Linked DNA regions of Drosophila melanogaster. The gene in region 4 interacts genetically with the main gene of each other region. Each region holds a gene or a part of one and is shown on either strand. Other genes may lie near its edges. The genes, in order: neb, Bap170, btl and kni.

Region 1 (4,993 bases), on a different chromosome or scaffold from region 4:
CTTTCGATCAAGAGCCTCTCACTTGTGGGCGCCATGTAATTACTCATTGAATGCAGTCGAATGATTATAAATTACGTCGCAAATGTCGAGTGCGCCTTTTTTTAGAAGCCAGATACTTGTATTATATAAAACCCTCACTTTCGGATTAACTAGCCTGGTAATATTCCAACAATCAAGTTATTACGAACGTGTGGCGTTCGCTTAAGAGCAGTTGTTAACTTAAAATGCACACATAAGTATGTTACATTGATTGCTAAAGAAAACGCAGTCGTTACTCAATTCAAACAATCGTGAAACAAGTAGCTAATATGTTAACTAATGCACAACATTCAAGTCTCATGACAAGTTTATAACAATTTTCCTGCTAATGCTATGTAAGCATTTGCTGAGGTTTTATAACAAAATAATTATATTACCCGGGTGAAGACACTGCTATCTTTTTATTCGCGTTCTTAAAATAAATTTCTAGAAAGTTTACACGTGCGCCTTTGTATCAGGTCATAAATTTTATGGTCACATAGGAAAAGCAACAACAATAGATTAAATAGATATGATAAGAGGCCAAAATTTTAATCACTCAATTGATTGAGGTGCGGGAGGTCTTTGATTTGGTAGACCTTAATAAAAGGCTTTCCTATCGAAAATGATAAGGAAATAATAATAATAAAAAATACACTAAGTCTGCTGGCAATCTTAGCAAACAAAATAAACAAACGAATGATAACAAGGTTCGAGTTTAGAACTCGAGATCTCTCATATTTAGTCCTATAAAGCGCAGATAAACTCAATCTAATCTCTGGCTGATGTTGTCGTCTTCTTTTCCTTGTTTTTTTCGGACAATTTGACGCTTTATTTTAATTAAAGTAATTAGCACCCCAGTTAATTGATAGAGCCAACATAAATCTGTCTAGCAGCTGCTCCTCGCAGTGCAGACATCATTAAAACAGAATTCGCGTGTCGCGCGAGTCGAGATGATATCTCTGTAGACAGTGGGCTTCATAGCTCATCACGAGATCTGTTGAAAAGACGAATATCTGCCAGCCAGTTAAGTAAACATTTGACCGTACGAACATTTTGTGGGTACTTTCCGCAGGGGTCAACGTGTCATTTGCATGTTGCAGTGCAGTTCTACGTACTGATTGCTTTCCGGGTAATTACTGATTGCAAGGGGACCCCATTCCGTGGGCCACTGCCTAATCGAAGCGAAAGTGTTGATAAGCAATCCTATCGGTGGTGGCAAAAGTGCGGAAAGCATTGCGAATATACATATGCATTTATATTGAAGACATGAGGTTATAAGGTTTTACTGAGCTGAACTTATTCGAAACACATACTTAGCAATCACTTCTGGGTACAATTATTGATTTCAAAAACCAAGGGGATAAGAAAGAGTTATCATTAGCCGAAAGTAGACCAACCTACTGACCCGGTTGATAAGTACAAACGCAGCTAAGAACTATTTCGTAACACTTACCCGCAACAGCCAGGTGAGCACGCTCTCGCGATAGGGAACGAAGGTGCTGGGCGTCCCAGAGCCCAGGGGTCCATTGGCGATCGCCTTGCGGGAATCGGCGAGAGCAGCAATTACTTTCCCCAGCGTCAGCAGGCTCTTGTTGATGCTGACGCCCTCGCGGATCCGCTCGCCGTTCGATCCGGAGACGCTAATGCGTTCGCTGCCCGCCAGGTCCACCAGGCTAATCTTGCTGCGCCGCGTCTGCCGCAGGGAGGAGGCCGTGCTCGAGTCCGTATCCGAGGACAGGCCATCGTCACTGCTCAGATCGGTGAGGTTTAGGACAATGTTGAAGATGGAGTGTGAGCGCGAGCTCTTGTCGTTCATGGCCGTGGAGGCAGTGGCCCGCTGGGAGTTGCCCACGGCAAGCCAGTTGCGGAGTGCCGAGTACGAGTCCACCGAGTGGGCACTCAAGTCCACTACGTAGGGCCCGAAGATGGGATGCTCCCTGACCTTTAGAGCCGGACGCTGCTGCTGTTGTTGCTGCTGGATGGGCGTGGATTCCCCGGTGGCAGCTGCCGCATGCTGGACACTCAGCAGATCGTGTATCTTCTCGTTGTAGATCTCAAAGTAGCTGACCTCCACCTCCACCTGCAGCTGCTGCTGACTTTTCACAGCCTCTATGCGGCGGAATAGCTCGTGGCAGAAGCGTGGAATGATGCCCGCCTCATCGTGCGGCGGTCCGCCATCCAGAGCGGCGTCATCCAATGCTTCAATGCCCATCATGCTGTACGATTTGCCCGAGCCCGTCTGGCCGTAGGCAAACAAGCAGGCATTGTAGCCCTCGAAGGCAGTGTCGATCAAGGGACGCGCTGTGCCCTCAAAGACTTTGGCCTGGCAGGCGAAGTTCTTTCGTTCGGGATCGCACGAGTAGTAGACCTGGTCGTAGCTGAAGAAGTGCGTCACGCCGGCGGAGGCATCAGCACTGCTGCCCGCTTGGACAGTCAGCTCGTTGCTGTTTCCGTGCACCTGGACCACATTGGTGACCTGACCACGTGTGCATTCCAGGGCATTCAGTGGCCGCACTCGCACCGCCACAATCATGTTGCTCTCCTCGGACACGCTGAGGCAGGACTCCATCAGAGAGTCCCGCTCCTTTGTCCTGCTGCAGCTGGATTTCCCGGTGCCGGGCGTCTTTGCTCTTCCAGGAGTAGAGTTCGCATTCCTGTACAGCGACGAGGGTGTGTAGCAGGCATTCAGGGCCGTGGGCTTGGGCTTCGGCTGTGGCGTGCTCCCGCTGAATGCAGTGTTCAGCAGCTGTTCGGGACGATCCCGGTGCTCCCGATCCTCCGCCCGCGTCATCAGCACCTTCTTGCGCATCTCGGATGCCGGCGTGGATTTGTGGACTCCTCGCGTCTGGAACTGCTGGATGCGCTGCCGCACCGGAGTGCTCTTGTTGCTCATGTCTAGATTATTATTTAGGTATCTCTGCTCGTTTTTTAAATAACGCCGAAGAGTTTCGAATTATTGCGCGGCGTCGTTTGTTATTTTTTTTCTAGTGAAGGGCGGCGATCGATAGCAAAGCAGGGTTGATTACAGTGAGCGGCGTGAGGTCCGGCAACGCCACCACGAGCCAGGGATGAACAGCACTTACATACTCTGTTAGCTAACTCTGTTAATCAGCTCATTTAAATTATGAGATAATTGACAAAGAACTAACATGAAATAAATAAATATATAGCGAAATTGTAATAGTGTAAGGATTTCTACCCATACAATAGTCTATTTGTGCAGTTGTAAATCACTGAGAACAGTTGTGGCGGCAAACTGCTCAGCTCTGGCCGATAACCGATACGCGCTGCCTTGTTATCGGGAGCAGCTGTTGACGAGCAACGTAGACAAAAGTAAATATTATTGAAAATCCATAGCAATTAAAGGTGAGTTCCTTGCTGAATTGAGTTTGTTACCATGGCTATAGCATACCACACCCTGTCTTTGCAGCACGCATAGGCACTTGCAACAGAAAACGAGGGAACATCAATCGCTAATCAGCTGCAATTAGCCGCACTCGAAAAGTTCAGAGAAACTAGTTCCGAGCGTGTTGATATCGCAGTCGCCGCATTTGTGGCTTATATTTCCTTGTTCCCTCGATCCAAGTACCATATAAATAAGCGCGGCTCAAAAGCAGGTTTTGCATTCATTGTAAAACATTGCCAAAGCGCGCAGCTGATCAGCCGCATATATAAATCCACATCCAGATACAGATCCAGATATATAGTATAAATCGGACTTGAAATGTCGCAGCAACCTGTTGCCTTTTTAACCCGTCGCGAAACTTTCAGCGCCTGCCATCGTCTCCATAGGTAATTAGATTGAATCAAATTGAATCATTCAATTGCCTGATTCAATCACGGCTGGCAAACCAATTCAGTTCGATTTAAATTGATTGCTGCATCTATTTTCTCTTCAGTCCCCAATTGAGCGACGCCGAGAATCTGGAAGTCTTCGGCAAGTGCAACAATTTCCACGGCCACGGACACAACTATACAGGTAAAAAAAAAAATACCCCTTAAATACACTTAGTCGCATGATTACCTGCAAAGTGCCACACTTATTATCACATAACCCCGGCTCAATCAGGCTTAACCCCCTACTAAACTGGTAATTTGAGCCCAAAGTGGTGCCTAACCATAGCAAAACCTTGGCCGACAAGCTCGCTTATCAAAACCATATTCAAGTTCAACGCTCAAAGGCAATCAATATGTTGACTGGCGACCGAGAATTGATAATGAATAATGGTTCTGAACGAGCATAAAGTGTCGCAAGTGCTCAACTGATTAGAAATTTGGATTATATTTAGATTGTCAATAGCTAAACCTTAAGAACTCAAGCTTGACTCGATGCCGATTATACCAAATTATACCAAAAAATGTGTGAATAGACTACGAAAGATGTTCTTTTATAATCCTTTGTGATCTTTTCAGTTGAGATAACCGTCCGTGGTCCCATCGATCGGCGAACCGGAATGGTGCTAAACATCACCGAGCTGAAAGAGGCTATAGAAACTGTGATTATGAAGCGCCTGGACCACAAGAATCTCGATAAGGATGTCGAATACTTTGCCAATACAGTAAATAACCAGCAAGCACAACACAACTTACCGTACTTATCCTTTATATCTATCCCCCCCAGCCAAGCACCACAGAAAACTTGGCCGTTTACATCTGGGACAACATCCGTCTGCAGCTGAAGAAGCCGGAGCTGCTGTACGAGGTGAAGATCCATGAGACCCCAAAGAACATTATCAGCTACCGCGGCCCGTATCCGCTCAATGGCATCTACAACCCCATCAACAAACGCATCGCTCACGATTCGTGCACCAACATCTCGTCGGATTCGGATTGAACATTCGAAGATTGTGACATCGCCTAACGAATTTTTTGATTGGACCAATGATCAGCGAAGACTCAGCCAACCTCTTAAGCACGCGCGTAGAAAAGGACACTTACCATGTAAGGGAATGAAAAGTTATACGAATTACAC
Region 2 (7,752 bases), on a different chromosome or scaffold from region 4:
TCGACAACACCCTTTACAAAACGCAGCCACTTGGGCAGCAGATGCTCAGTCTTGGACTGAATAAGCACCTTGCGGGTGTAAAGAGCCACACCGGTGTTTCCGTCCCGAGACATCTCGAATAAACCAGGCTTTCCTTCGGGGAAGTAGAGCAGTGCATGGATGCTCAAGGGTACGTCAGCATTATAGTGTAAGGTGAAGCGCGGGACATCGAAGCTATTGCTAATGAACCGATAGAAGTCATGGTGCTGCTCCTTGCTGATGCTTTGTGGCTCAAGAAGCCACAGAGGCTTGATCTCATTGGCCTGCTTTCCGTTAAGCAAGATGGGTGAGCCCACAAAGTTGCTGTATTTCTTGATTACCGCCTTGATCCTCTCCTCGTCCGCATATTCACGGCAATCGGTCTTTAAATGAAGCACGATTCGCGTTCCCAACTCAACGTCAGGCACCTCTTCGATCTCGTAGGTTCCACTGCCATCCGTGGACCAACGCAGTCCGGGTGCATTAGGCACAGCCGCCCTCGTGAACACCTCCACCTTATTGGCGACAATGAAGGAAGAGTAAAAGCCCACGCCGAACTGACCAATAATGTTCGAGGATGCCTCCGAGCTGGCTCCCTGCTGGGTCCCCTTCATCTGCTCCAGGAACTTCTTCGAGCCGCTGCGTGCAATGGTGCCCAGGTTGCTGACCAGCTCCTCCTTGGTCATGCCGATGCCCGTGTCCTGGATGATTAGCTGCATCAGTGGCTTGTCGGTGGTGATACGAATCTCCAGAGGCCGGTCCTTTCCAGCCAGATTCTCGCCTCCAGCGCTCAACGAGGTGTACCGAAATTTCTCCAGCGCATCGCTTGCATTCGAAATAAGCTCGCGCACAAAGACCTCGTGGTCGGAGTATAAGGAACGAGCCACAATGTCAAGTAGCTGGCGCGTCTCTGCCTGGAACTCATGCTTGTCCACCACTGATCCTGATGCCTGCTTGGTCTCCGTGGAGTAGCGACGGAGCGAGAGAGCTGCAAGTGAAAAGATGAGTGTTATGTAAACATAAGAATCCCTCCGGGGAGCCGGTTGCTTATATTCAGTGCTTACCACCCGGCGAATGCTGCGATCCAATGGTGATATTGAACGCTGCTGGGGCGGATCGGTGACTCTGCCTCAACACTTGGGCACAGCGACCGAGGCGGCACGCCTGGCCCAGCACTCCCATCGCTCGTACAGACATCTTGTTGTTTTAATGTTTTGCCCAACTTTAATGTTACCCAACTACGAAGTTTGTTCCAGCGCACATGTGTGCACAGTGTAGCCAAATCAATCGATTGTAAGTATTCGATAATAGTAAACTGGTAAAACCCTACTCATAACGGTGTTTTCTTCCAAATTTCTGGGCTGTAATGAATTTTGGACTCAAATGCTTAGTTGGTTTGAATAAGAGTTACTACATGTAATGGAGAGTTCAGTTTCATCACATTATTCAGCTCAAAACTGAAGCAAACTGCCAGCTGACTAGTTCTCTAAAGATTTCGATCAGCAAGAGAGAGAGAGAGAGATAGAGATGTTTCAACTGTGAACAACAAACCGTAAATTCTGAAGGAATTAAGAACAGATTACGTTTCATTGTTTAGCCAATGTAGATTGGATGCTGATTTTTGAGTTATGAAATAACAAATGTCTTCAAAGAAGACAGTAAATAAAAGAAAGTTAAATCAAATCCAATATTGAAAGACATCGATACCTCATATCGATATACGGTCCAATTGCTGACAGCCCTGCTCGTGAATGCAACTCTGCTGTAGCGCGTCAGCGTCGCGTTGTAATTTTTGTTGAGTTTTTTAAATAATTTTAATTAGCATCTGCGTGTCTTACTATTAGAATATCATGTGTTAAGTGTTTCCCATTCACGCCACCACACAAAAAGATCCAATCATGAGCGCCACCACCATCGACAACGTACGGGTGCTGCTTCAGTCGCTGCCTGCTGCCGCCGTAAACAGCGCCACTCAGCCGGGCGATCTACAGACGCCGGGCAAGATTGCGGCCCCAGCGACTCCCCTTCGCGCCAAGAATCCCGCCCAATTACAGATCATGCCGGAGAAGGTCGAGGAGATGCCGCCGTCACCTCCGGAGGAGTTCTGGAGGGACCTGCAGCAGTTTCACGAACGACGCGGGTGAGTTGCCGCGGCTCTCCTGTATTTGGAGACGACCTAACCCACTTTCCCTCTGCCCAAACAGCACTCCATTGACACAGCCCGCCAGGATCAGCGGTAAGCATGTCGACCTGTACAAGCTGTACAACGAGGTAACCGAACGAGGCGGCTTTAATAAGGTGACCATGCGGGACGAGTGGGACGAGGTGTACAGCGCCATGGAGACATTGCGGGAGCGCTGCGTTAACGGAACGGCTAGTATCAAGCACATCTACAGACGCTACCTGGACAAGTACGAACGGTTGAACTTCTTTGGCGAGGATCCAGACAAGATGGAGGCTCTGGAGGCGGCTATTGAGATTGTAGAAATGGGCGGTGGACGCTCGCGATCTCGTTTTTTGGCTGGCGCCGGTGGTGGCCTAGGAAGCATTTTTGGATCAGCACACTCTACGTTGCCGGCGGTGCCAATGGCCTACAACCAGCGCCAGCACTCTGTTAATGTGGAACGACGCCGACAGTACAAGATGTCCACGCAGTTGCACCGACACAGCAGCTACGAGAAGCTGCTGTTGTCTCTGCTTTCTCCGCTGCCCAATGAGCAGGACTTCGCCATAAACGTGTGCACACTTATGGCCAACGAGGCGCGCCACACCCTACAGCTGTCCGAGTGCCCCAAACTGCTTGATGTGCTGCTTGCTCACCTGGGAGTCTACGCTGACTTCACCATGCGCCAGCTGTTCCAGCACAGTTACACCGAGGTTCGACACCATTCGCAGCTCAGTTTCTGGCGCGACCTGCTACACGACAAGCCACAGGTCCTAGAGCTCTACACGGATGAGCAGGCCTGGCTGGACAACGGTCTGATAAGTAAGGAGGACGGTGAGAACTCTGCCGCTCGAAGTGAACTGCTGGCGGCCTGCGACGAGTTGCACTTCCTTAATCTGCGCCGGAGCAACGGGACTGATGAGCGCATGGGCCAGCGAGTGCTTCAGATTGTCCAGCTAGTCCGTACACTCAGCTTTCATCAGGAGAATCATGCACTCTTGGCCTCCAACCGCACGTTGTGGCGATATTTGGTCATGGGAGCAAACGTACGATGGAGTAAGTTTTTTTTATCTGCTTAGAAATTATATTTTTTGGCGCTTTGAATGTACGAAGTATCAAGGTGCTATCATAAATACACTGCAAGGAAATTGACTATTGCGTAGCATAGCAATCCCGAAAGAATCAATTTAAAATAAAATAACTGAAACACGTTTCGCTCGTTCTAGGCAACATTCACATCCAGGCCCTCGAGACCGCTGGCAACCTGGCTCAACAATTTGAGCTGCTAGACCCCACCACTGACGAGCTATCGCGGAATCTTTTAGCTACTCTCTGCGAGGGTATTGACTCTAACGACCGCGCGGTGATCATGAGCTGTCTGGAGATACTCTATAAGTTGTGCGGACGAGAAGGCAATTCGCAGCACATCAATCGTTGCCTTGGCCTGGACTTTTACCAGCGAGCCATGTTGCTCCTCTCGCTTACCGACGTCATGATGATTATCTTTACGCTGGAGGCAGTTTACGCACTAAGTGCTCTTGGCGCTCGGCCATGTTCGATGCTGATGCAAGTACGTGGCCTAATAGACCAGCTGGTGACCCTTATCACAGTGGAGGCTCAGTCATATGGCACAGGCGGTTGCATATTAATGCGTGTCGTAGAGGTTTTCCCCGGAAACATGGCTGCCTCGCTGGCTCAGAACATGCCCGCCATTCTTGCTCCAGGTCCCACTTCCCTGACTACACTTCCAACATCGCTGCAAGTAGCTGTTAAACCGCCAGCAGTTTTACCCACGCCTACACCCGCCCAGACGCAAGTGCTGCCTCACGGAGAGCAAACACCCTTGGTTACAGCTCTCCCCGGTCTGCCAATGCCCAGTCTGCCACAGGTTCAATTGCCTGTACCCAGTCTGCCGCAGGTACAATTGCCACCAATCGCTGCCACCGTGACCCTTCCCAGTCTGCCCTCCGCCTCCCAGAGTTTTACACACGAGGACGAACAGTATGCGCTGGCTTGGCTGGGAGCCACGTATGAACGGGCTGGGAACGGTAACGATCTCCGTGTGGAACAAGCGGAACTATACAGAATATATTTATCGCATTGCCAGAAGGCGGGTAAGCTTTCAGTGGTTAATCACATGCAGTTTCCTCGTCTAGTGCGGCTTATATTTAATCAATCGGTGGGACCAGTAATTGTACGGCACCTGGACGGAATAGAGCTACCTGGGACGTACTACGTAGGCATTAGGATGCGAGCTCAGCCGCTAGCCATGCAACAGAGACCCACCCCCAGCATTGTTCCTGTTAAAAAGGACACGCCAATATTGCCCAAGCAACCATTTAGTGATCCTGTTCAAACGGAAGTGGCGTCTGAGGAAAGCGTTTCTTCTGCAGTCACGCCACCCCCAAGCTCCTCGCTCATCAAAAGCTTGTTGGCCAACAAGGTAACTGAACGCCAACAGAAGCAGAAGGCCCAAGCTCAGACGCCGCAGCCGCCAGCCCTTGTGGCTACCACGGCATCGGGCACAAATGCTACCCAGCCCATCAAGGTAACCTCAACAGCTATAAGCGCCTTCGTGAACAACCCGCTAATGCAGCACACACCGGTGAAGGTGGGTCAGACTACCATTAAGCCGTTGCACCCCCAGATGGCCATCGAAAAGAAGCCAATCACTGATTCGGCCCCGCCACCTCTCGCTCCATTGAGTGGTGCAAACGTAGTGACGAAAGACGCCAGCGGGCGCACTCTCATCATTGCATCAGCAGCTGCCAAACGAAAATTAACCATTGACGAGGAGCAGAATAAGCGTCTGGCTTTAGATGCCGCTGCCAGCAGTTCCAGCAGCTCATCTTCTGGCGGCAAGGAAGAAGCGCAGGTGACTCCCTCGAAGAATGCAGCCAATCTCTATGCGGATCTGGCGGCATCTATTTTGGAGGATGAGGATATGGATGACGTTCCACCGCTGGCCAAACCAAGCCAGGAGCAAAGCCAGCAGCACCCGCAACAGGCACAGCAGCTTCAACTCATTCCGGCTAAAGTGCAACCAACCCAACGTCAACTTGTTTTCCCCGGTAGCAATGTGGTTTCTCCAGCTCCGCATTCCCAACTAAAACTTGCCACCACGGCCACCATAAAGACGGATCAGGGCTTGCAAACTGTGCCAGTGATCCTGCAGCCCAAGACTGCAATGGATTCCACGCCAGCTCCGCAGACGCAATATGTTCTGGCCACCAACCAGCAAGGCCAGACGTATCTTGTGGCCCAGCAGCCGACTATTCCGACATCCACGCAGTCGGCACCACCCACTCTGCTGGTGACGCAAACACCACAACAACAAACGAAGACCATAATAATCCTGCAGCAGCCAGGAGGAGTCTCTGCGGCGAACGTGGCTGGCACTCAGAAAATGATAATGACAACGGCGCAGGGCCAGCAGGTCCTGGTTACCACCACCACAGCTCCACAACTGGCCCAACCGCGTACTTCTACCCCCCAGCAGCAAATCTTTATCGCACCCCAGCGACCAGTTCCGGCGTTGGGTGCTGGCCAAATGTCGCCTTCACTGCTGTCGCAGTTGAACCAGATCCCGGCTACTATAAAGCTTCATCAGCCCCAACCACAGCCGCAGCTCGTTTCGCCGCAATTAGCACCCCAGCAGCGATTAGTTGCCGCAAAGCCGGGCGCTTCATTGCCCATTCCTCAGCTCCAGCAACATCAGTCTATCATCCAGCAACACATAATCTCGGGCCCCTCCACTCCTACTTCCACAGTTGGCGGTACGGTTGGTGGGGAAAAGAGGCAGGTAATTCTGGGCGGAATCAAGGAGACCACGCTAATTACCCAGACGTCGGCCACACCGGCTCCCCTGCAGCAAAGCCAGCTTAACTCGCAGACGATCATCACTCAGTCACCTACCAGCACGGCTATCGTAGGAGGCGTGGCTCTTCAGCAGCAACATCACATTCGATCTGTGTTGGACCAGCAGCAGCAGCATCATCCATCCATCATCCAACAGAAGATAACCATGCCGGCAGTAAGTTGGGAACTGGGGCCGAAATTAAAGAATTATTATTTTTTTTTAAGTATATATACAAGGGTCATTGAAAAGTATGTAAACAGCTTAAAATTTGATTTCATAATATGCCCATGCCCGTTCTAAATCCCATAAATCGCATCACATTCACATTCCCCATTTTTAAATGTTTCCATCGCGTTTTCACTACTTGAGTGGCGGGTTTTACAGGATCTCTTTTCTAAATAGCCAACAGGTGTATGGTAATAAGAATTGTGCTAAGATGACTAAAACAAATATTTTAATATATTATTTTAGATTTCCGAAGCGACCAAACCGAAAATAGCACCCGTTCCAGTTTCACCAACTGTAACTCTCCTAGCAAAAAAGCCGGCGCCGCCACAACCTGCTCAAGTATCTAGCCCCAAGCCATCAGTCACCCAGGCTGTTGTGGTAACGACGTCAGGAACTAGTGATTCAACGGAAGGCGGCAAAACAGTTGTCTTAGCAACCAGCGAGGCCAAGCCAGCGGAATCAGAGGTAGTAGCACAGACGGTTGTCCCACCTGCTGTCGTAACTACAGGTCCCAGCAGCAGTTCTTTGGTTGTCAGTCAGAGCGTCTACGCTGCTTCTGGCCCGAATGCCAACCCCACGCCCTCTCCCATGCCCGTGGATGCAAATTGGTTGTACATCTGCGACTGGCGGAACTGTCCCCGCAAGAAATTCAAGTCTCTTAACGAGCTGCAGTACCACGTGTGCAGTGTCCACTGTCCAGATCACCTTGATTCTGATGCCGACATTTATTGTCAGTGGGGCAGCGGACCCAACTTCTGCGACAACAGAGCGCGCAAACGGTACTCATTGATGACGCATCTGATTGACCGGCACCTGACAACGGAGAACTTGCGCGCCAGTGTGCAACGTCGCCTGGCAACTGGGATTCACAATGTGGCGCCCACCCAGGCTCCCGTGACCATAGTGCGCAACGAGGGTCATGCCCAACGATTGGCGGGAGGCGCTACTGGTTCACCTTCGGGTCCTGCTTCAGCGGTTCCAGTCGTTGGCAGCGCCGCAATGCAAGCTATGAACCGACACACGACTGATTACACGAACGCTAAAGAGCTGATGGACGAAAATGAGGGTCCAGTCACCAAGAGCATCCGTCTGACAGCGGCGCTCATTATACGCAACCTGGTCACCTACTCGGCTACGGCCAAGAGAAGCCTGAAACGCTATGAGTCACGCTTGGCCAATGTCGCCTTTAGCAATGTGGAGGCTAGCGGAGTGCTCTCCCACATCATGTACGAATTGAGCCAGTAAGCCGATATAGCTTACCATCAATATGATTATTTAACTGACTTGTAAGAACGACACTAAAAAAATGTGAAAAGCAAACCATACCTTGTTTGTCTAAATGATTCATACCATATAGCACCAAAATATGGGAGATTCGGGAGTAAGATTTTAATTTGACTTCTACAATTCTACGAGGCTTAGAATTAAAGAGCTATGGTGGACATTATCAGATATACTCCTGGTTAGCAAATAAACGTTTTGA
Region 3 (7,750 bases), 6.6 Mb from region 4:
ACGGAGTCCATCCAAAAAGATCTTCGCAACATTTTTACCAGCTGCCTGCAGCATGCCCCCGCCATTGTTGTGCTAGAAAACTTGGATGTACTGGCCCACGCTGCTGGAGAGCAGTCCAGTCAGGATGGAGAGTACTACAATCGCATGGCGGATACTGTGTATCAGTTGATTGTTCAGTATACCACCAACAACGCTATTGCAGTAATCGCCACCGTCAACGAGTTGCAGACCCTCAATAAGCGATTGAGCTCACCAAGGGGAAGACATGTCTTCCAGACTGTTGCTCGTCTGCCCAATTTGGAACGAGCAGATCGAGAGATAATTCTTCGAGAGCTGTGCAGCCATATCAATGTGGCCAAGGACCTGGATCTTGTTAAGTTCTCCAACCTCACGGAGGGCTACCGGAAATGTGATCTTGTTCAGTTCGTGGAGCGTGCAATATTTTATGCTTATCGCATAAGTGAGTAGTTTGTAGTGTTAGTAAGCAACTTTATCATGTTAAATTCCCTTTTTTCCAGGCAAGACCCAGCCTCTTCTGACCAATGATCAGCTTATTGAGTCCCTGGAGCACACAAACTCGTACTGCCTGCAGGGCATTCAGAGCAATCAAAGAACTGGCAATGATGCCGATGCCAATGAAATGCGCGTCGAGGAGTTGCCTGGCCTGGAGTCAGTTGTGGGAGTTCTGGAGGAGGTCCTTATGTGGCCATCAAGGGTGAGTTTTAAACGAAATATATGTTTTTTTCTAAAATTTAATAAATCATTAATTTCTTACAGTATCCAACCATTTTTAACGCCTCTCCACTGCGCAACCAGGCCGGAGTACTTCTATATGGGCCACCAGGAACAGGTAAAACCTATCTGGTCTCTCAGTTGGCCACATCGTGGAACCTGCGCATCATTTCCGTCAAGGGTCCTGAGTTGCTCGCCAAATATATTGGTCAAAGCGAGGAAAATGTTCGAAACCTGTTCAATCGAGCTCGCAGTGCCCGACCATGTGTGCTTTTCTTCGACGAGTTTGACAGCTTGGCGCCGAAACGTGGTCACGATTCCACGGGGGTCACCGATCGAGTGGTAAATCAGTTGCTCACAGAACTGGATGGCGTTGAAGGACTGCAGGGAGTTACCGTGATAGCAGCTACCTCCAGACCGGAACTGCTAGATCCCGCGCTTCTTCGATCCGGTCGCATTGATCGCTTGGTGGAGTGTCCTTTGCCGGATGCTCCGGCCAGAGTACGTATATTTGAAGCACTCAGTTCAACACTGAGCCTTGATGAGTGCGTGGACTTCGATTGGTTTGCGGGAAAAACTGCAAACTACACTGGCGCCGATATCCAGAGCATCCTGACCTCGGCGAACATGGCGGCGGTTAAGGAGGCGCTAGCTCAATTCGGACACGAGGTGAGCTGGGAATTATTTTCACCGGAAACAATCTGCTTTATGGGTCATGCAAGCTTTCAACCGTTTCTTTCATGTTTTATTGTTTCTCATCCTGATTTCAAATGTAACTTCTATGTAAAAACTCCTTTACGTGTTTGTCTTTTAAATCAAAAGTGAAATCTATGCTACTTCCTGCAACAATGATTAGTCACGTAGTTCTTAGTCTCTGGCCACAGTATAAAATACCATTTGTTTCTTATTGCTTTCCCAGAAACTGGCAAAGAAAATTTCCTTGAAGCAGAAGCACCTGATTGAGTCGTTCCAAACCACTCGTCCTTCGCTCAGCGCCTCCGATGTGGCCAAATATCACAGAACGTACGTAACAATGTCTTCTTTGTTCTTCTGTTCTTCTTACCTTTTTAATTATCTCTTGGTAGGTATGCTCGCTTTACCAACAAGGAGAAGACTTCTAGGGAGTTTGTAGCCAAGCGTGCGACCTTGGCTTAAAGACAAAGACTTATAAGCTTAGCATTATTATTATTTTAAATTGTTTTTTGCATATTTGTACATCTGGAAAATGGAACATTTTGTTGGAAGACGCAAGTCTTAGGTAGTACATATTTCATAATTTTTCTTGTTGAAAAATAAAAACCAAATTTCTTTTATGATTACTTCGTATAAATCCATATACCACTCCGGAGTGTTAAATTGAAAGAATATTATATTTTAATTATAATGTACATACATGTATAAAAAAGAGAAAGAGATGTTCAAATTTAAGAACTAATATCTTTTCGCATTCTGACCTCGGTAAACATGAGTGCTGTTAAGGGGTGGCTCCTTAACAAATGAAGACATCAGGTGAGTTTGGTTATTAATTCACCGGAAATTGTGTTTAGCTATAACAAGTTTTTGATAGCTAGTTTGGATAGTATGTCCCTCCTTTTCGTATTTCCCAACTGTTTCGCATTTGTTCCCATAGCCCCTAACAAGTGCATCAAAAATGCATTTAACTATTTTTGGGTAGATTACGTGCCCGGCATCTGGATCTGGATTTTGGCCTATGCGGGAGCTAGCTGCTGCCATGCCACATGCAGCAACTGAGATTTTTGGATATCAGTCACGTAACGGATATTTCCTTATTGATATGCGATTACCGCGCATGCGCACGTACTGCACACCACTAAGACAATGGACACATTTTCTTTTGCATAAATTAAGCCGCCAAGCAAACAAACAGGGAGGGAACCCGAAGGCCAGATAATAAAGAATTTCAACGAGTCGAAGCCACCGCAAACATGCTTAGAATAAAACCAACAAGAACCTAGCAGAAGCAGCAGCAGCAAACCAGCAATAAAAAGAAAGGAAACCGCTCAGGAAAACTACCAGCGAAAACAATTGCAACATGCGGGAGGGAGACCACCTCGATCAGGTAGCCGTCCGAACCCATACCATCCCATCCGAAGACCCTGTGCCCAGGATCCTAGCAAACATTATCGCAGGGAACCACAGATATCCACTCGTTTCGTATCGTATTGGATCGTATTGGATCGGTTCGGTTCGATCGGCACGTTCGGATCGTTCGTATCGTACCGCGTAAAAGTTTCTTCCGTTTCGATCGTTACTTTCAGTTGTTTGCGCACATTCAAGCCAATCGGTTGGCTCCTTCCACAAACTTTACGGATTACGGTTAGTGCAACGGAAGTGAACCCCCCCCCCCCCCCCCCGCCCAACACCAGCTACCCATCACATATTTCTTTTCATTTATGCCTGGTAAAGGGAAATAAAAGTTGGCAACGAAGCGGAAATGCAAGGCGCCTTCCGCTGCCCTCTTGCCGAGTCTTAAGATTTTTATACAAGCCCCAACCGCGATTGACAGCCGAATAAACATAGTGACAATGTTTTTTGCAATCTTATTTGCCTTCTCCGGCTCCTCGAAAATAAAAGACAAAGAACGTGATTTTTTTGGTCAAAGATTTGGGGTTGTGGCATGGCAGAAAAGAATTGTGTTCCCACTGCGAACTGACAAGCAGCAGTGAAACCAAAATAAAGCAAAAAATAATTTAAGAGTGAATTGTTCCAGCAGTAAAATAAATACAAATCTTTCCAAGTGCAGCCAAAAGATCATAAACCACAGATAAATAAAAACAAAAAGTCTGCAAAGTAACCAAATGTTAAAAATAAAATTTTAATTGAGACAAAGAAACGTGATAAAACTGATTCATACATAATTAAATAAACACCAATGAAATAAATAAGAAAATAAAATTAAAGTGATGTCAATTGTATGAATGAATAATTTATGTCTTGATCCAAACATTCCTTTTACATTAAGTCAATGTTTGCAGAAAGAAAACTGAATGGGGAGTTAATACCCAGGGTTCCAAATAAAGAACTTATTCTATTCTCGATATAGCTGATTGACCAAGTTGAAATATCAAATCGTTCATGCATTAGATTTATACGCTCGATAATAATTCACAAGATAAAAAGGTGTGAGCTAAACGGTTTTGGCCATGTGCGCTTGTGGCTTAAAATCGAATCGAATAATATTGAATGAATGACAAACTGAGAAAAAAATTAAATAAAAATAGCAATAATACATACTTCAAATACAGCGATCGACTCGTATTTGGCAACAAATGAGAAAAAAAGGAATTGAATAAATTAAAACCTGCGACGCGTGTGCATACATACATAAATCGGGCCTGAAGTCAAACGGCTAGCGGCTAGCGGCAATATCGGCTAAAACAACAACAACAATTACTGGCAGCACTAGCACCATATTAACAACAACAATGACAATCGCAACGGTTGTCCCAAGCCTTACAAACAATAAAATACTTTTCATTAAACAGCACAGTGGTCAAAACGATTTTATAAAAGTTAAAAATATTTTAATTTTCTGATAGAAAAAATAGTCGAACTATGCTATGCCCCCATTATTATCAATATTTTCTAAACTTCGTTTAAAACTTTACATTTTGTACAAAGCTTACATTCGCAGACAACAAGTTTGGGAATTTACCCTATCATCATTAATCATTGAACTAAAAATTGTTTATTTTTATTTGGCAAACATTTGACGAACCCAAGTAGATGGAATACCCACTGTCCTATACCCTTTACGTGATTATACTAAAAATTAATTTTGAAATAATTATCTGCTATTAGGATTTTCGAGCAGTGTTATTCAGTGTTTAAAGCATAACTTTATTATAAATATACCTTTTAATTGATTAAAATGCTGAGCTCATATTGCACAGAGAATTTGAATGTTAATTAGTTGCTATTTCAGATTGTGGCAAATCATTTAGGTATTTCTCGATTTGTTGTTGCAATTCTCTAGCACCTTGTCTGTTTGTTTTGTAAGTGCAAGTATAGTACTTGGGGAATAACTGAAAAGTGTGACACCACTGTAACAACTGATTTCAACAAATAGCTAAGTGATTTTCTAACTGTTCGGCATTTAGTTGAATGGAAATCGAGGAGCGCAGGCCGCAGCAACAAAAGCATTTGGCGAACGTCGAATATAGACAAGTTATAATGGAGATCCCCTTCGGTAGTGGGTGGCGACGAGTGTGTCCGGCAATTCGGTGGCTTCGACCACGTCTTCCAGCTCATTACGAAGGCAGGGCACACAGTTTTCGTTTGTTTCAGTTGCTTCTCCTTTGGATTTTTGCATATCGGTGCGGACAGACTTGACTTGGCTGTGTGCCGTGTTGGCAATAAAATATTAAACAATAATAATAAATAAATAAAATGACACAGATCGGGAACTAAGGGAGGGGCAAAAAGTGAAGCGGAGATTTGGCAATATTTATTGATCCACTTATACAGCTGCGGTCAAAAGAATAGTGGCACAATAGTGGTATTCAAGTAACGAATAGCTAATAATATTTGCATTCATAACTTCTTAAATTTAGTTAAATTAAACAAAATTCCAAAGTGTTATTTTTAAAGTATAATATATCAATCAATGCCATGTAATTCATATATTTAATCCTTTCCTTTAGCTGGAGAACGCTCGATTTGAAATCGAGGAACTCGAATGAAGATACCCACAGGAAGTGATATTATTTCGACCGCAACTGTAACCCATATGTACACGATCGTGCCCATCCAGATACGAGATCTTGGTGGCTGTTGAACTCAAGAGAATCCACTTGAATCATGGCAAAAGTGCCGATCACGCTGGTGATGATCATTGCGATCGTCTCTGCCGCTGCGGACCTGGGATGCGATTATGGCCATCATCGTTGCTACATCGATGTGACTGTGGAAAACAGTCCCCGCCAGCGCCATCTGCTCTCCGACATGGACATCACGCTGCAGTGCGTCCGACCCATGGCCAAATGGTTCTATGAGGATAAGTTTCAACTGAGGGCTACCCTTTTGCGACTTGAACGAGCACAGTCCGGAAATTCTGGAAACTACGGCTGCCTGGATAGTCAGAACAGATGGTACAATATTTCCCTTGTTGTTGGCCATAAGGAACCAGTTGGCAATGATATCGCCAGCTTTGTCAAGTTGGAAGATGCACCGGCCCTCCCGGAGTCAGATCTCTTTTTTCAGCCCCTGAATGAGAGTCGATCCCTGAAGTTGCTGCAACCCCTACCCAAAACCGTACAACGGACCGCAGGTGGCCTTTTTCAGTTGAACTGCAGTCCCATGGATCCGGATGCAAAGGGTGTTAATATATCCTGGCTGCACAATGATACTCAAATCCTTGGTGGACGTGGACGCATTAAGCTTAAAAGGTGGTCATTAACAGTGGGGCAACTGCAGCCGGAGGATGCTGGAAGCTATCACTGTGAGCTGTGCGTGGAACAGGACTGCCAAAGGAGTAATCCGACCCAATTGGAGGTGATAAGCAGAAAGCACACGGTGCCCATGCTAAAGCCCGGATATCCCCGCAATACCAGCATTGCCCTCGGGGACAATGTGAGCATTGAATGCCTACTTGAGGACTCTGCCCTGGAGCCGAAGATCACGTGGCTACATAAGGGGAATGCGGACAACATCGATGACCTCTTGCAGCGTTTAAGAGAGCAGTCCCAGCTACCTGTGGATGTTACCCGATTGATTACCCGAATGGATGAACCGCAGGTACTTCGTCTTGGAAATGTCCTGATGGAGGATGGCGGATGGTACATATGCATAGCCGAGAACCAGGTTGGACGCACTGTGGCCGCCTCCTATGTGGATCTTTACAGTCCCTCAGATACTACCACAGTTCGCACGACCACTACTACCACCGTGGCCAGCCCAATACCCACTGCATCCACCGGAGAGGACAACGATGACGACGTGGAAAATCCAGCAGCGGAAGCATCAGGCGGCGTTGGTCCACCTGTGTTCAGAAAAGAGCTGAAACGATTACAGCACTCATTATCGGGAAATACTGTCAATCTAGCCTGTCCAGTGTACGGCAAAGCGAACATCACCTGGACGAAGGACAAGAAGCCGCTAAACCGTGAACTCGGCGTCTATGTGCAAAAGAACTGGACACTCCGCTTCGTGGAGGCCACCAGCGAGGATTCTGGACTATACAACTGTAAGGTGTGCAATGCGTGGGGCTGCATCCAGTTTGACTTCAGTGTCCAAATAAACGATCGCACGAGATCCGCACCAATAATCGTGGTGCCGCAAAATCAGACGGTGAAAGTCAATGGCAGCTTGGTGATGAAGTGCACCGTCTACTCTGATCTGCATCCAACAGTCAGCTGGAAAAGGGTTGTCCTCAAGAATGCCTCCTTGGACGGCCTTAAGTCTGTGGAAATCCAGAATCTCAACTTCACCGTGACGAATGACTCCGTAGTTTTAACGCTTCGTAATGTGACCTTTGACCAGGAGGGCTGGTACACCTGTTTGGCCTCAAGTGGTCTGGGAAGGAGTAACTCCAGTGTGTACCTTAGGGTAGTGAGTCCTCTGCCACCTTTGGAGATCTACGCCCTGCTGCACGCCCATCCTCTCGGATTCACCTTGGCCGCTATTACGATAGTGGCTTTGTTCCTTTTGGGCAGTGCTTTCATAACGTTCATGCTGCGTCGGCTGAGGAGGGAGAAGCTCCTGAAGCTCCGCATCGAAACGGTTCATCAGTGGACTAAAAAGGTGATCATATACCGACCGGGTGGAGAAGAAGGAAGTGGCTGCAGCTCCGGCGATCTTCAGATGCCAGTGATAAGGATCGAGAAGCAGAGAACAACCGTTTCCACAACGGGAACTGGCGGTACTGATCCCGCCCAGGGCTTTAATGAGTATGAGTTCCCGCTGGACTCAAACTGGGAGATTCCCAGGCAGCAGCTTAGCTTGGGCTCCATTTTGGGTGAGGGCGCCTTTGGACGCGTAGTGATGGCGGAGGCGGAGG
Region 4 (4,480 bases):
TACTTTAATATGAATCATTCTGAATCCGGGTAATAGCCCGTCTAAATAGTATTTTTTATAACTTTTCGGACGCAATTACATACTCAATAATACTCAACTATCGTTTTTTTGCTATGAATCAATGCAGATCTCTTATTGATTAACTTCTAATTAAAGCGTTTCAATTTATTGCCAAGTCGCGGTTATGCAAATTTTAACACATTTCATGAAATCTTGAGAATCAGTTTGTGAATCACACAGAAAGTGGGAATATTTCCCGCGGAAAAAGGTTTTGAAAATCAAACTAGGTGTTAGGCATACAGGCAACTCTAAATGTACCCAAAAACCGGCGGACTTTGAAAAGAAAACCCCAAGCGAATTGGCCTCCAACCATTTCGATTTCGAGCAGCCAAAACGGCTCCGCCCATGCCAAAAAAATGAGCAGCTGTTAAAAATGAAGTCAATAGCTTAGTCAATGTGGTGTGTGTGTGTGTGTGTGGTGTTCGAGTGAGTGAGAAATCCAGCCGCCCTTAGCACGCGAGTATCTTTAATAAATAAACGAATAACGAATAATATCAGGGCCATGCAAATAGCCTGATTACAGGGAACTCAAAATCGAGAGAGAGAGAGAGACTGAGCGTGAGATCTGAATGAGTGAGTGAGTGTTTTCTATTCATTCAACAACAGAGCGTTAACATTCTGCTAACATTTCGCTCGAGTGGGGTTCGAACTCAATGCGCATGTGTGCGTGCTCGATCGCTCTCTCACTCGATCCGAGTCTTAAAGGTGGTGGTTTCAGCCGTGATTTATCAGAGAGCTGGGGCTGAAAACTGGTAAGTTTGCTTTGGTGTGAGTGCGAGTACATAAGCCAAAGAGTTCGGCCAGTAGGCGAAACACAGAAACGCTTCTTGCCAGTCGAACCTCTCAGCCAGAAATCAGTCGTCAGCTAGTAGCCGAAGTGTCAGTTACACACATCGAGGATTCCCAAACCGCGTTGTTTCGGCGATCAAAAACCATACATCACATCAAATCGTATCCAAAATTATAATCAAAGTGTTGAAAACCTGAATCACTCAGACTGATCGAAAAGTGCTTGCAAACCGAAAACAAAACAAAAAAAAAAAAAATAACAGACACAAACTGCCAAAGTGAGAAAACGTGCAGCAACGATCGCGAATCGCTGCAATTAAAAAGTCGTCATAAACCTAGTGCCCATCCAACAAAAAAAAGCAAAAAGGTAAGTTCTGAGCGAGGGAGACAACATGAGATCAAAGTCAATTCACGGTTCTTGTTTTTGGGTCGCGGCCGTCGGCAAATTTTACGATCCCTTGTGCACTACTTTTATTTTTTACTGTTTCACGCGAAAAACTAACGGCCACATTTCCATCTTTTCCTTATTTTTTTGCGTCCCGAGGCAGCGGGAAAAAAATCACAATTTTCATAAGCCGAATTTTCTATTTTTTGTTTGACTCGGGAAAAATCGGCGTGAGTTTTTATGGCCGAACGTCAAGGTCTGGACTGCTGCTGCATTTTTTTAGGGAACACTATTTTCGCAGCACTCGTAATGACTTCGAATAAAAAAGAAAATCTACCTGAGTTTTATGACTGGACAGCGCGAAAAAAATGAAAATGAACGCATAGGGTTGCATAATCCGGCAGCTTAAGTTTTTTGGCCTGTTGTGATCATAAAAAACGCCCATCCTGTCTAGTTTTTCCCAGTTTCCTATATATATCCTGGCCCGCCTAGAGCTCAGCATCAGTTGCTCAGCAGCATTCCAAGCGAACAGATCATACAGCAGATCCTCACAGCGATCGTGAGAAAAGCATTCAAAATTCCAACAAATATCATTCCAAAATGGTGTTCAACTTGGTTAGTGTCCAGAGCCGTTCGCCTACTTGTGGATTACACATATACCTCTCGACCAGTGGATTAAACCCTTACTAACGCGGGATTTCTTTACAATCTTCCAGATGAACCAGACATGCAAAGTGTGCGGTGAGCCGGCGGCGGGCTTCCATTTTGGCGCCTTCACCTGCGAGGGCTGCAAGGTAAGTTGTGTCTCAAGAAATCCATTGACAAATAAATTAGCAGAACGTAACCCCCCAAGGGGTTAGTTTTAGAAATGTTCGAGGAACAGGCCATCGGCGATTCAAATCGTTGTACCATTGGCCTTAAGTTCTTGAATGAATTTCTGCTCTTCTTTTGCTAATGAGTTGCATACCACATAACTAAGCCACATTCGTCCTTCCCTTCGCCATTGCAGTCCTTCTTTGGCCGCTCTTACAACAACATCAGCACCATCAGCGAGTGCAAGAACGAGGGCAAGTGCATCATCGACAAGAAGAACCGCACCACCTGCAAGGCGTGCCGCTTGAGGAAGTGCTACAACGTGGGCATGTCGAAGGGGGGATCCCGCTACGGACGTCGCTCCAACTGGTTCAAGATCCATTGTCTGCTGCAGGAGCACGAACAGGCCGCCGCAGCGGCGGGCAAGGCGCCTCCATTAGCGGGTGGCGTATCGGTGGGTGGTGCCCCGTCGGCCTCTTCCCCGGTGGGCTCGCCACACACTCCCGGATTTGGGGACATGGCCGCCCATTTGCACCACCATCATCAGCAGCAGCAGCAGCAGCAGGTGCCGCGTCATCCACATATGCCTCTGCTGGGCTATCCCAGCTATCTGTCCGACCCATCCGCCGCCCTGCCCTTCTTCAGCATGATGGGCGGTGTACCGCACCAGTCGCCCTTCCAGCTGCCCCCACACCTCCTCTTCCCAGGCTACCATGCAAGTGCTGCCGCTGCAGCGGCTTCTGCTGCCGATGCCGCTTACCGGCAGGAGATGTACAAGCACCGCCAGAGCGTGGATTCCGTTGAGTCGCAGAACCGCTTTAGTCCCGCCAGCCAGCCACCAGTGGTGCAGCCCACCTCCTCGGCCCGCCAGTCGCCCATCGATGTCTGCCTGGAGGAGGATGTTCACTCCGTGCACAGCCATCAGTCGTCCGCAAGCCTCCTGCATCCCATTGCCATCCGAGCCACGCCAACCACTCCGACTAGCAGCAGCCCGCTGAGTTTTGCGGCCAAGATGCAGAGCTTGTCGCCCGTTTCGGTTTGCTCCATTGGCGGCGAAACCACCAGCGTTGTACCAGTGCATCCTCCCACCGTTTCCGCTCAAGAAGGACCCATGGATCTGAGCATGAAGACCTCGCGGAGCTCCGTGCACAGCTTCAACGACAGCGGCTCCGAGGATCAAGAAGTGGAGGTGGCTCCGCGCCGGAAGTTCTACCAACTGGAGGCCGAGTGCCTGACCACCAGCAGCAGCAGTTCCTCCCACTCCGCCGCCCACTCACCGAACACCACCACCGCCCATGCGGAAGTCAAGCGGCAGAAGCTAGGTGGTGCAGAGGCCACCCACTTCGGTGGCTTCGCGGTGGCCCACAATGCGGCTAGTGCCATGAGGGGAATATTCGTGTGTGTCTAAGTACACGGCGAAAAAACCAAGTGGGAGGAGTCGCCCCAAAAACCCTCGTTGTTTATTTTTTGTTACTTAAAGAAAATGTAAATTTATTCGTGTGCTCGCTCACACTTAGGGAAGTGGAAAGAGATAGGGACAGACAGGTTTTGCTGGAAAGAGACAGCCTGACCAGGTAGTTGCATTGCACTCGCACACATACACCTATATACCACCACACACACACTCACACTCACCTATTGAGCTCGGATCCAAAAATTATTTTTTATGAAAACGTTAAAATTGTAAATATATCTTTGAGCTTGTTTGCAATTGTATTTTAAAGTTAGCCGGCGGAAGAGCCGTAGAAGTAGTAATCATTCCCACCCTCAAATGCTATTGTACATACAAATTGTTAAGTCTAAGAATGATCTTTATTGTCTCTAAGTATTTTATTCTATTATAGTCCTAGTTATGGTATGTCTAAAGATTGGCATTTAGTTTTATACAAAGAAAAATAAAAACTATTAAAAATTAAACTTTTGTCGTTTCCAATGCTTTTCGGTGTATTTCAGAATACACAAATTCATATTTGAAGTTTTTGCTTATGGATAATTGAACTAACTTATTTACAATGTCGTCTTGAAGCTCATTAATTCCACGGCACGTTTACTTCGGTGTTGCTTTTATTGATTTAATTTTAGTTGTGACATCATAGAAAAGTGTATTTAATTACAAAACAAACACTTTAAGAAAATTATTTAAAAATACTCATACAACGTATTCGTTGTACCTTAAAGTTAACGAACTCTTCTGATTTGTTTAAGCACATTATTATGGACTATATGTCTGGTGCAAACTATCTTTCGGATGTATCTGCTGGATGTATCAACGAAGTTTGTCGGCTACCGCACATTCCTATAGGATCAAAGCCAATAAATTATTTACGTATTCAGCTACCGCTCTTGTTTCAAAATCAGTTCTGTTCAAACATGCGAGCATATATCCATATACATATATCTGATCGGCGGTGTCTTTGGCTCGATGTTCGTTAA

Evidence for each region.
Region 1: of kni (region 4) and neb, changing one suppresses a phenotype caused by changing the other (phenotypic suppression), as found in Drosophila melanogaster (one study listed by BioGRID).
Region 2: of kni (region 4) and Bap170, changing one suppresses a phenotype caused by changing the other (phenotypic suppression), as found in Drosophila melanogaster (one study listed by BioGRID).
Region 3: of kni (region 4) and btl, changing one suppresses a phenotype caused by changing the other (phenotypic suppression), as found in Drosophila melanogaster (one study listed by BioGRID).

Annotation. Positions count from the first base shown.
Region 1 is NT_033779.5:20,073,778-20,078,770, reverse strand, and holds the start of neb (nebbish), read right to left. Parts: upstream 3,015-4,993; 5' UTR 2,915-3,014; coding exon 1,475-2,914; intron 1-1,474. Other genes in the region: pr (purple), read left to right, coding at 3,746-3,813, 3,921-4,000, 4,435-4,580, 4,643-4,855.
Region 2 is NT_033778.4:6,634,773-6,642,524, forward strand, and holds Bap170 (brahma associated protein 170kD), read left to right. Parts: upstream 1-1,739; 5' UTR 1,740-1,916; coding exon 1,917-2,158; intron 2,159-2,222; coding exon 2,223-3,238; intron 3,239-3,408; coding exon 3,409-6,215; intron 6,216-6,512; coding exon 6,513-7,514; 3' UTR 7,515-7,586; downstream 7,587-7,752. Other genes in the region: Trap1, read right to left, coding at 1-1,006, 1,083-1,215.
Region 3 is NT_037436.4:14,074,059-14,081,808, forward strand, and holds the start of btl (breathless), read left to right. Parts: upstream 1-1,755; intron 1,756-1,817; coding exon of another isoform or gene 1,818-1,887; 5' UTR 1,888-1,990; exon of another isoform or gene 1,991-2,065; intron 2,066-3,006; exon of another isoform or gene 3,007-3,069; intron 3,070-5,396; 5' UTR 5,397-5,553; coding exon 5,554-7,750. Other genes in the region: Pex1 (peroxin 1), read left to right, coding at 1-460, 519-715, 778-1,401, 1,652-1,755, 1,818-1,887. UniProt on the Drosophila melanogaster protein: May be required for patterning of muscle precursor cells: generation of mesodermal and endodermal layers, invaginations of various types of cells, and CNS formation.
Region 4 is NT_037436.4:20,691,811-20,696,290, reverse strand, and holds kni (knirps), read left to right. Parts: upstream 1-1,734; 5' UTR 1,735-1,834; coding exon 1,835-1,849; intron 1,850-1,950; coding exon 1,951-2,028; intron 2,029-2,243; coding exon 2,244-3,455; 3' UTR 3,456-3,961; downstream 3,962-4,480. UniProt on the Drosophila melanogaster protein: Transcriptional repressor. Binds to multiple sites in the eve stripe 3 enhancer element. Plays an essential role in the segmentation process both by refining the expression patterns of gap genes and by establishing pair-rules stripes of gene expression.